Linked DNA regions of Sus scrofa. The protein of the gene in region 1 purifies or fractionates together with the protein of each later gene. This does not show direct contact. Links are inferred from orthologs where the notes say so. Each region holds a gene or a part of one and is shown on either strand. Other genes may lie near its edges.

Region 1 (4,398 bases):
GGAACTTCCATGTGCCGAAGGTGCAGCCCTAAAAAACAAAAAGCAAAAATTCTTATCTTTGGAGTTCCTGCTGTGGCTCAGCAGGTTAAGAAGCCGACTAGTATTCTTGAGAATGTGGTTTCCATCCTTGGCCTCGCTCAATGGGTTAAGGATCTATCATGGCCACAAGCTGTGGTATAGGTCACAGATGTGGCTTGAATCTGGTATGGCTGTGGTTGTGGCTGGCAGCTACAGCTCCAATTCAACCGCTAGCCTGGTAATTTCCATATACTGTAGATGCGGCCCTAAAAAAAAACATCTTATCTTCAAAAGAGTCAGAGAAAGGGCAGACAAATCAGGCTATATGGTACTCTTTCAGGACAAAATACTTCCGTAATTTTCTTCCCACCCAAACCCTTCAATATGGGTTAAAAAAAAAAAAAAAAAAAATGAATACCAGCTGTCTTAGAGTTTACTAAATAGAGGTACTAGTCAGAAACAGGCTCAGAACCATCCCCACCGATACAGAAGCTGGAAAGGACACTGTGTTGCCAACACAGCTCAGGCTGGGAGATGTGGAAAGTGTAGAAAGTCTCAGAGTCTGGAGCTGTGCAGGCACAGCCAAATCGTTTCACTAACTTCTCATTAACAGCAACTCAACCTCGCTTTCCATGACTTTGAATTTAAGACCCCTCTACTCAAATCACAGTGGGGTTTTAACGAACTTGAAAACATTAAATCTCACCTCCCATGCGTTCCATCATCGCACCCAGCACCAAGCCTGCGCATGTTTCCATCACAATCATTTTATTGCCAGCACGGATATTTCCCAATGTCAACATCTGGGCTAGTGTATCGTATCTCATGTGGCTAAGGAAAAAAGGAGGATTTATTCATTTTTAGGTAAGCAAAGGCTGCTCTTTTAATCATCATTTTTCAAGTTTGGTTTGCTTGTTTCATAAAAATTATGTTGTTAAGATTACTGATTGCTTTGGAGCAATAGGAAAACAGGACTTACAATTTATGAAGTAGGAGGACACTTTATGCAGATGAGCAAGATTTTCATTTTACTTAAAATCATGACTTTCTTAAAGACATATTTTCCCCCAACTATAGTTTTGAAAGGAAACAAAGCGTACTTAATTTTTCCAGGTTCTCTTGCATAATACATAACTGAAAGAATGCGGGTGGATGGCTTCACAATAGTAATCATGGCTTCATATCTGGGGGAAGAAAAAACGGCATCAATTTTGAAAAGCTGCTTTAAAAACAATTTATTTTTTAATGATATATTTTATAAACCTATAGGAAGATTTCATATTTTCATCCTTTCAAAACAAAAACTACTTACTTCTTTTTCTTCTTTTTTATATATTTATCTTGAGCAAACTCTGTCTTGTCTCGGAATGTTGTACTATTTTCAATTAATTGTTGAACTATTTCCTATGAGAAAGGGAGCAAGTAGATTTCCTGAAATTTTATTTTCACAGCACAGGTAACTTCAAAGGTTTCTTACCCCAGACTGTATCCAAAGGTCTGAATCTCCAGGCCCTTTTCCACAGAAGTCCAAGTGGATGAACTTTATATTTTTATACTCTATCTAGAATTTGTATTAAAATATAAGTAGTTCATAATTCCATATAAATCCAAGTAAAACAGAGATACACAATAAAGGGAGAAAGAGGTAAAGGAAATTGTCAGTCCTGAAAACACTGGCTGAAAACATTACTGAAAATGAACAAAGTTAAGCTCTGATAAGTTATCAAATTCCCTTTTGTTAATAATATTAATAAGTCATTTTCATTTATATTCCCACCTGTAAGAAACAAAATCTTTGTTACACTGAATTGCATTTACATTCCAAGCTATTTTTAACAGAAATGTACAGTATTTTTACATTTTACCTTAGGAAAAGTGTGCTTTAAAAACCAGGCAATTTCCTGAAAACCAAATCCAAACGAAACAAAAAGTCCTTTGAATTTTACCTCTCCTTTAATGCCTTTGTCCTTTAAAGCTTTTATGTCATCTTGAGTAAGTTTCTGAGATTTCCCGTCATCGATTATATTTCGATTATCAGTGCCTGCTTCTTTGGTCTCTAAGGAAGAAAATTGCTCTGTAACACATATGATCTAAAATTACTTAAAAATCTTTCTTCCTCTACATTCATATCCACATCCAGCCCATCAGCCACTTAAATTTGGCCTTCCAGTTGTGCCCCCACCCCAATCCACTACCTTTCTTGACATGACCACTCTAAGCCTCTCATATTCCTTTTCCCACTCTTGCCCCTTTACAATCCATCTGGACATCAAAGTTCTCTCTCTCTTTTTTAAACACGTGGCCGCTACCGTGGCACATGGAAGTTCCTAGGCAGGGATCGAACTAGGGCCCTTGCAGAGACAACTCAATGCAATAGTGAGTAGTTACATTATGAGCCACAGGGAAAGTTCCAGAGTCCTCTTCTTAAAATGCAAATCGGTGCATCTATTCCAATGCACAAAACCACACAGTGGCTTCCTAGAGCAATTCAAATACATTCCAAAGATGACTTGCAAGCTTGTATATGATCTGGCCCCTGGCTACTTTTTCAGGCCTTATTTCTTAACCCCTGTATTCAGCCACACTGCCCTTCTTTCTATTCCTTAGACGCACCAGCATGGTCCCAATGTAGGGCTTTGGCACTTGCTGTTCCCTCTGCCTAGAGGGCGCTTATGACAAGTGGGTGGATCCTATCCATCACTCAGCTCTGACCTCACCATCTCAGCCAAATCTCACCTCATTCAACCAGCCCTCAGTACACCTCCCTGCTTTATCATCTTCATAGCACACATGACCATCTGACATTACGCTGTTTGCTAATCTACTTGATTACTTTTGATGTTCCCCACTGCTAGGTAAATTTTATGGGATGGTCCATCTCATGAACTGCTAACATCACAGTGGCTAGTCATGCCTGGAATATATTTGGTGCTTAAGAAAAATATGCATGTTAATTTTAAAGTATTTAATAAACTGGCTTGAATTGGAACTTCAATAGTACTCCAACTATTTAAATGTAATAATTGTTTTAAAAATTTTAAGTACACTTATTTTAATAAGTGTTTAAGGGTTTAATTTTAATTAATGATAGCTAAAATTACAGGGCTGTTACTTTAACAGGCAAGGCACTGTTAAGCACTTCCTATGTGGGAGTTCCTATTGTGGCTCAGCGGGTTAGGACCTTGACTTGTATCCATGATGATGCAGGTTCAATCCCTGGCCTTGCTCAGTGGGTTAAGGATCTGGCATTGCCTCAAGCTGTGGTGTAGGTTGCAGATGTAGCTCAGATCTAGCATTGCTGTGGTTGTGGCGGAGGCTGGCAGCTGCAGGTACTATTTGACCTGGAAACTTCCATATGCCACAGGTGTGGCTGCAAAAAGAAAAAAAAAAAAGTTTTAAAACAAGAACTTCCTATGTGTACATGTGATTTTAACGCTCATTACAGGTTGGGCATTAGATGTGTTTATGGCCCTATTTTAAAGATGAGCAATTTGAATACATTCCAAAGATGAACCTGAGAAACCAAATAACTAGCTCAAGGTTACAAAGGCAAGTGATGAAGATGGAACTTAAACCTAGTCAATTGAATTCAAAGCCAGACATCTTATCCTTCGCCCTATGTGCCAACTACCTCACAAGCTGTTCTTCTAGGCACTGAAAGGGCTATATATCTGCTCTTACACTGAAGCTGCAAAGACTCAAGGGAGTAAATGCCTGGCCCAAAGTTCAAGAGCTGATTAATGGTGGGAAGGAGCCAGAACCCAGGTATCTCAAAGGTATCTAAAAAATTAGCCAAAGGCTAAATCAGTAATTCACTCTACCAAGCTGCAGTTCTTAGATGATGGGTTTAGATTTCTTTGGGGAGATCATGGCTAGCAATTTAGAACCAAATGGGGTTGATAGACTTCTGAGTAGCCAGCTCAAAAGATCATCAGTTTCATACATCTTAAGTGGTATAGTGCACCTGAAGTAGGCTCTTCCTTCTTCTTCTTCGGCTGAAGAATTCCTCCGTTGGTCACTTCAAATGTGGTTCCATAATTATGGCCTATAACGTTATCCAGATAGAACCACTGTTTTTCAAAAGTTACTTTTCTGGGGAAGAAATGCAGTCAATTAGCTGAATCTCATTTGCATTCAGTATTGGAAAGATATGTTTAATCTAGTTTATTTTAAAATTGGTTTCCACAAAGGAAGATCAGCAACATTATCTCTAACCATAAACCAAAAAACAAACTAGAGAAAATTGAGTTGGGGCAGAGACATAAAATTAACAAAGAAGCCACAAAAAAACATTGAATTTGGAACAAGAAACAAGAAACAGGAGACACTCCTCTTGAGAGGTACTGGTCTGGCTCCAATTTGCGCTATGTGATAGCATGT
Region 2 (5,015 bases), on another chromosome or scaffold:
CAGGTGCGACGCCAGTGTGCCCAGCTCCTACGGAGGGCTGCTGAAACCCAGCAGGACCCTGTGCGGCTCCTGGACACTGATTCACATAACAGCACCTTTGAGCTCTTGGGCAGAACTGAAACTCCAACAAAGGAAAAAGGTTAAGTACCGGATAAAGCGTCCTTCATTCCAGAGAGGTCACAGTTTGATAACCTTTAGAACCACAGAAGCTCACCAGGAGACCCCCGAGGCCGGATGAAAGGAATGCAGGCCCTGCACACACCCTGATTCTTATCACAAACTTGCCCTGAGCCACTGCCATAAAATTCACTGAAACCTCTGTGGGTGGGGACACACTGTTTTGGGGGCATCAGCAGCGGTGTCCCCTCATCTGGCAAAGCAATAAAGCTATTCTTTTCTTCTTCACCCAAAACTTGGACATGGAGATTCGCGGGGGAGGGTTTTGGCAACATTATTCTTGATCCGGCTCCATCGATTCTCAGATTATAGCACCAGCCTCCCCCCAGGCTTCCTTCCTCCTGCCCTCACTCCCTGCAGTCAGCCCCTGAGAAAGATCCTGTTAAAACAGAAGTGGAGGAGTCCCCGTCATGGCTCAGTGGTTAACGAATCTGACTGGGAACCATGAGGTTGCGGGTTCGAACCCTGGTCCCAGCTGGTTGAGGATCCAGCACTGCCATAAGCCGTGGCGTAGGCTGCAGATGTGGCTCGGATCCCCCGTTGCTGTGGCTCTGGCATAGGCTGGAGGCTACAGATCCTATTAGAGCCCTAGCCTGGGAACCTCTATATGCCGCAGGGTGTGGCCCTAAAAACACAAAAAAACCCAAAACAAAACCAAAACAGAAGTTGAGGAGCTCCCATTGTGGCTCAGAGCATTAAGAACCCGACATCCTGTCTGTGAGGATGTGGGTTCTATCCCTCACTCAGTGGGGTAAGGAACCGGTGCTGCCATGGCTGTGGCATAGGCTGGCAGCTGCAGCTCTGATTCCATCCCCAGCCCAGGAGCTTCTATATGCCCTCAGGTGTGGCCCTCAAAAGGAAATAGATAAGTAAATACATGAAGATAGAGGGTGAAGAGTCACGCCTGTGTTCAGGAAGCGCAGACTAGAGGCTGGATGGACACTGGGTCTGACATTCACCCTCAGGAGCCGAGGCGGCCTGAGGAACTCACCGGACTCACAGACCACAGAGCCAGGCCGAAGCTCCAGCATCATGGTGAGCAGGGCGATGTCAGTGGAGTAGAGGATCTGCGTCCGGTGCGGCAGGTTCAGCGTCCAGAGCTCGGGCGTCGGGTGCAGCACATACACCCAGCCACCACGGCCGCAGGTCACCTTGGAGCCAAACGGGCGGCCAATGAGGTCTACCGAGTGTCGCAGGACGCCGTGCCGGGTCTGGGTCTGGGCCCCACGCTGTACACGTACGGCCACCATTGCACCATGGCCCAGCGACAGGATGGCTGTGTCACCCTCTTTGATCAGCTCCTCGTACGCCACAAAGCTCATGGTTGCTGTCTGGCAAGTGCCAGGGACCTGTTAGGTGTGTGGACATGAACATGTAAGGCGACAGGAGGCAGGATGTGTACCTTAAGTCCCCGCAGAAGACGGTGAGGCCCAGCTCCTGAGCAGTGCGGGTGGAGTAGCTGTCTCAGCCTCTGGCACAGTCCATTAGGGCAGCCCAAAAGGGCTGCACCCTGGCCTGACGATTGAAGCCCTTCTTGGTCTGGGCATGAGACAAAAGCCATCAGCCCAAATCACAGACGGAGAGACTGAGGCCTGGCACTGGCAGAGAAGAGGCCCAAGGATTCCCACAAAGAAACGACTTGACCCTTGGAGCTCTCTTTTGTTTTTTCCATTTTCGGTTGCCCCGTGGCGCATGGAGTTCCCAGGCCAGGGCTCAGATCTGAGCCACAGTTGTGACCTAAGCTGCAGCTGCAGCAATGCCAAATCCCTAACTGACTGTACTGCGCTGGGGATCGAACCAAGGGTCCCAGGCTCCCAAGACACCACGCATCCTCTTGCATCACAGCAGGAACTCCTTGGAGTTCTCTTGTGTTGCAGTGAGTTAAGGATCTGGCAGTTGTCTCTGCAGGACTTGGGTCACTACCGTGGCACTGGTTCCAACCCTTGCCAAGGAACTTTTACGCGCCATGGGCACAGGAAAAAAAAAGGACTTGGTCCTCTGGAGTCACCCTTCTCCAGGAGCCGAGTTCCCATTGCCCAGCTGTGAAACCAGAGAGTATCTAGGGGGAAGCAGCAAATGGCCCTTGATGTCACCTCCAGGCCAGGCTCGATGCCGCAGATTCCCATGGCGGGCATCTGGGCAGACGAGTGGCACAGCGGTGCAAGCATAGGTTGGGGATGTGCAGCGGGACGGAAACAGAACACTGGCCTGGCCAGGGCAGAGGCAGGCGGAGGGTCAGGCCAGGCTGGCACGGCGCTGAGGGCGGCCAGGGGAGGCTGCCCGGGAGCCGTGGGCGCCGCGCCCGCCAGGGCGACCCCCCCACCCGCGCACTGCCAGCGTAGCCCTGGGGAGTCTCACCGGCGACGTTCCTCGGGTTGAGACTCCCGGAGGCGCTACACGTGGCTCCGCGCCGCGGCTACAGCCCTTCCGGCTCCGGCCCGGCGCGCGGCGCCCGCTGACGACGTCACGGCCCCGCCCCTCGCGCGCGGGCTCCCGGGACCCGCGGGCCCCCCTTGCCGCCGTCCGGGGCGCACCTCCCAGAGTTTCTCCAGCGTTTCTAGCTGCTCCTGCGGAAGACAAACGGGAAGTCCCACTGTCCCGCCGCCGAGCTGCTGCGGTCCTTTCAGATCCGGGCAGGGTCCCCTTCGCAGCCTTGGACAGCCCTGGAGTCCCCGAAGGGCCGGCCCACCGCTAGCTGCGCAAGCCCCTAGCGGGACGCTTGGCCATGGCCGTTTTGTCCCTGCAAACCGCCCTGGGGACACCTCTTAATGGCTCCCAGGATATATTCCAGAAAATGGGATCGCAGATCAGAGGGTCGTCCAGAAGGCTTTGGCCGGGCTCAGCCAGAGGAGTAGGAAGGAGATGGTGGCCTTGAAGGGGCTGCGGAGGTGCAGTTGGCGTTCCTCCCCTTCGGGGCACATTCTCCAAGTGCAGAAGCTGCTTCAAGAAGGGAAGGAGTTCTGTGTCCCCACGGTGCAATGAGCGCTGGATGAACTGGGCTTACCTTGGGATCAGAACAGGGCAGGGGGGGAGCGGGGGAGGCGGGGGCGGGGGTGGGGTTGGAGTGTGGTGGCTGGAGAGGTGGGGCAGAAAAGGGAAGCGGCGGCCGGGTTCTGTCTCAGCAGTGCTGATTCAGAGCCGGTTCCTCTGTGGAGAGTGTGCAGAGGCCGATCCCGCAGCACTCTGGTCCCTGCGGGCCAGGGCTTATCCTGTTAGCCTTGAGGACTAGAGAAGGATAGAGACTGCAGCCCACTCAGCTGCTGTGGGGCCTGAGCCCTAACCGAGGGCCAGCTAGCAATGACGCTAGGCCACACTTCTTGGCCCAGGCCACTCCATCCTGGATAAATGGGAGTGGCCAGGCCCTGCCCACTTGTGGAGCCCTCTGAACTCTCCCCCTCTGGGGCCAGGACTGATAAGGGTGTTTGTGGACCTCAGAGTCCATGGCAAAGACCCAAGTGCGTCGTTTCAGCCCCTCTGTGCCCCAGCCCTGACTTGGGCCTGGGTCTTGGGCAAGACAATGAGGAGCCTTTGATGACCTCCATTCTCTGCGAGGCCAGTGCTCTGCCCACCAGCTGCCTGCGTGGATGCATCATGTCCTGCACTGAGACAACCCAACTCTAGGGCTTGCCAGCCTTTGTTCCATGTGACTCTGCTCCCGCCTGAATCAGCCCCTAATTACGCCCCTGGGAGATCTCAACTTTCCACTTGGTGTGGGGGTTCCTCTTCTCCAGCCTCTTGCTTCTCAGAGGCTAAATGCCTGAGAGCCTAAATTAGGACTCAGTGACTTGGTGACTCGCCAGTGGTTTCCTGTGGTCCCAGCTTCCCACTTGCCTCTCCTTCCGTGACTGGCAGGCCTGTTCCTCCATTGCTCTCTCCTCCAGGCAGCCCTCCGAGGGCTCCATCTCCCCAATCTGAGCCTACCCCTGGCCTCAGCCTGAGTCGACCTGAGCACCTTACTCAGGACAGCATTTGTGTATAAGGGGCCCCTAAAAAGAACTAAGGCTCCAGTTGTCTTTTGGCGCAACGGGCTAAGGATCTGTCATTGTCACTGCAGGGGCTCGGGGCACTGATGTGGCTTAGGTTTGACCTCTGGCCCAGGAACTTCCGCTATGTCATACACATGACCAGGGAAAAAAATAAAAAGAACCAATGCTAGGAGTTTCCGTCGTGGCGCAGTGGTTAACAAATCCGACTAGGAACCATGAGGTGGCGGGTTCGATCCCTGCCCTTGCTCAGTGGGTTAAGGATCCGGCGTTGCCGTGAGCTGTGGTGTAGGTTGCAGATGTGGCTCGGATCCCGCGTTGTTGTGGCTCTGGCGTAGGCCAGTGGCTACGGCTCCAATTCAACCCCTAGCCTGGGAACCTCCATATGCCGCGGGAGCGGCCCAAGAAATGGCAAAAAGACAAAAAAAAAAAAAGAACCAATGCTATATAAGCCCAATTAAGTGTCATCACCTTGAATCCTCCTCACAAGCCTCTGAGGGTGGGACCACCTCACAGATGGGGAGCATGAGATTCAGGGAGGTCAAGAAACTTGTCTAAGGTCACGCAGCCAAAGTGGCCAGCGTGGGCTTGGGATTTAAAGCCAGCAAACTTGGCTTCGGAGAACCAGTGGTGGATCTGAAGAAATGTGGGAACAGGCAGGAAGAAGGCCCTGGAGGGAAGGGAGAGGCTGAGGATGCTGACAGAGGGAGGCTGCTCCGCTCCTGCGTCTCAGGCAGTGATCAGGTGACCCAAGGTCCCTCTACTCTGAACAGCTCAGCCTTCTGCCCCAACATGCTCTGTGACCACAAGGCAGTCCCTGCCCCTTTCTGACCCCAACCAGCTTCCCCTGTGCGT

The links. The genes of interacting proteins can lie anywhere in the genome.
Region 2: the proteins of TRMT6 (region 1) and TRMT61A purify together in Homo sapiens (affinity purification with mass spectrometry; 4 studies listed by BioGRID and IntAct, counting the BioPlex papers as one, with this or other methods). This does not show direct contact. The link is inferred for Sus scrofa from reciprocal best matches to the Homo sapiens genes TRMT6 and TRMT61A.

The regions. Positions count from the first base shown.
Region 1 is NC_010459.5:14,783,488-14,787,885, forward strand, and holds part of TRMT6 (tRNA (adenine(58)-N(1))-methyltransferase non-catalytic subunit TRM6), read right to left. Parts: intron 4,111-4,398; coding exon 3,983-4,110; intron 2,093-3,982; coding exon 1,965-2,092; intron 1,423-1,964; coding exon 1,331-1,422; intron 1,203-1,330; coding exon 1,119-1,202; exon of another isoform or gene 998-1,118; intron 850-997; coding exon 725-849; intron 1-724. UniProt on the Homo sapiens protein: Substrate-binding subunit of tRNA (adenine-N(1)-)-methyltransferase, which catalyzes the formation of N(1)-methyladenine at position 58 (m1A58) in initiator methionyl-tRNA.
Region 2 is NW_018084979.1:2,077,120-2,082,134, reverse strand, and holds the start of TRMT61A (tRNA (adenine(58)-N(1))-methyltransferase catalytic subunit TRMT61A), read right to left. Parts: upstream 3,194-5,015; 5' UTR 2,712-3,193; exon of another isoform or gene 2,536-2,711; intron 1,527-2,535; 5' UTR 1,500-1,526; coding exon 1,169-1,499; intron 1-1,168. UniProt on the Homo sapiens protein: Catalytic subunit of tRNA (adenine-N(1)-)-methyltransferase, which catalyzes the formation of N(1)-methyladenine at position 58 (m1A58) in initiator methionyl-tRNA.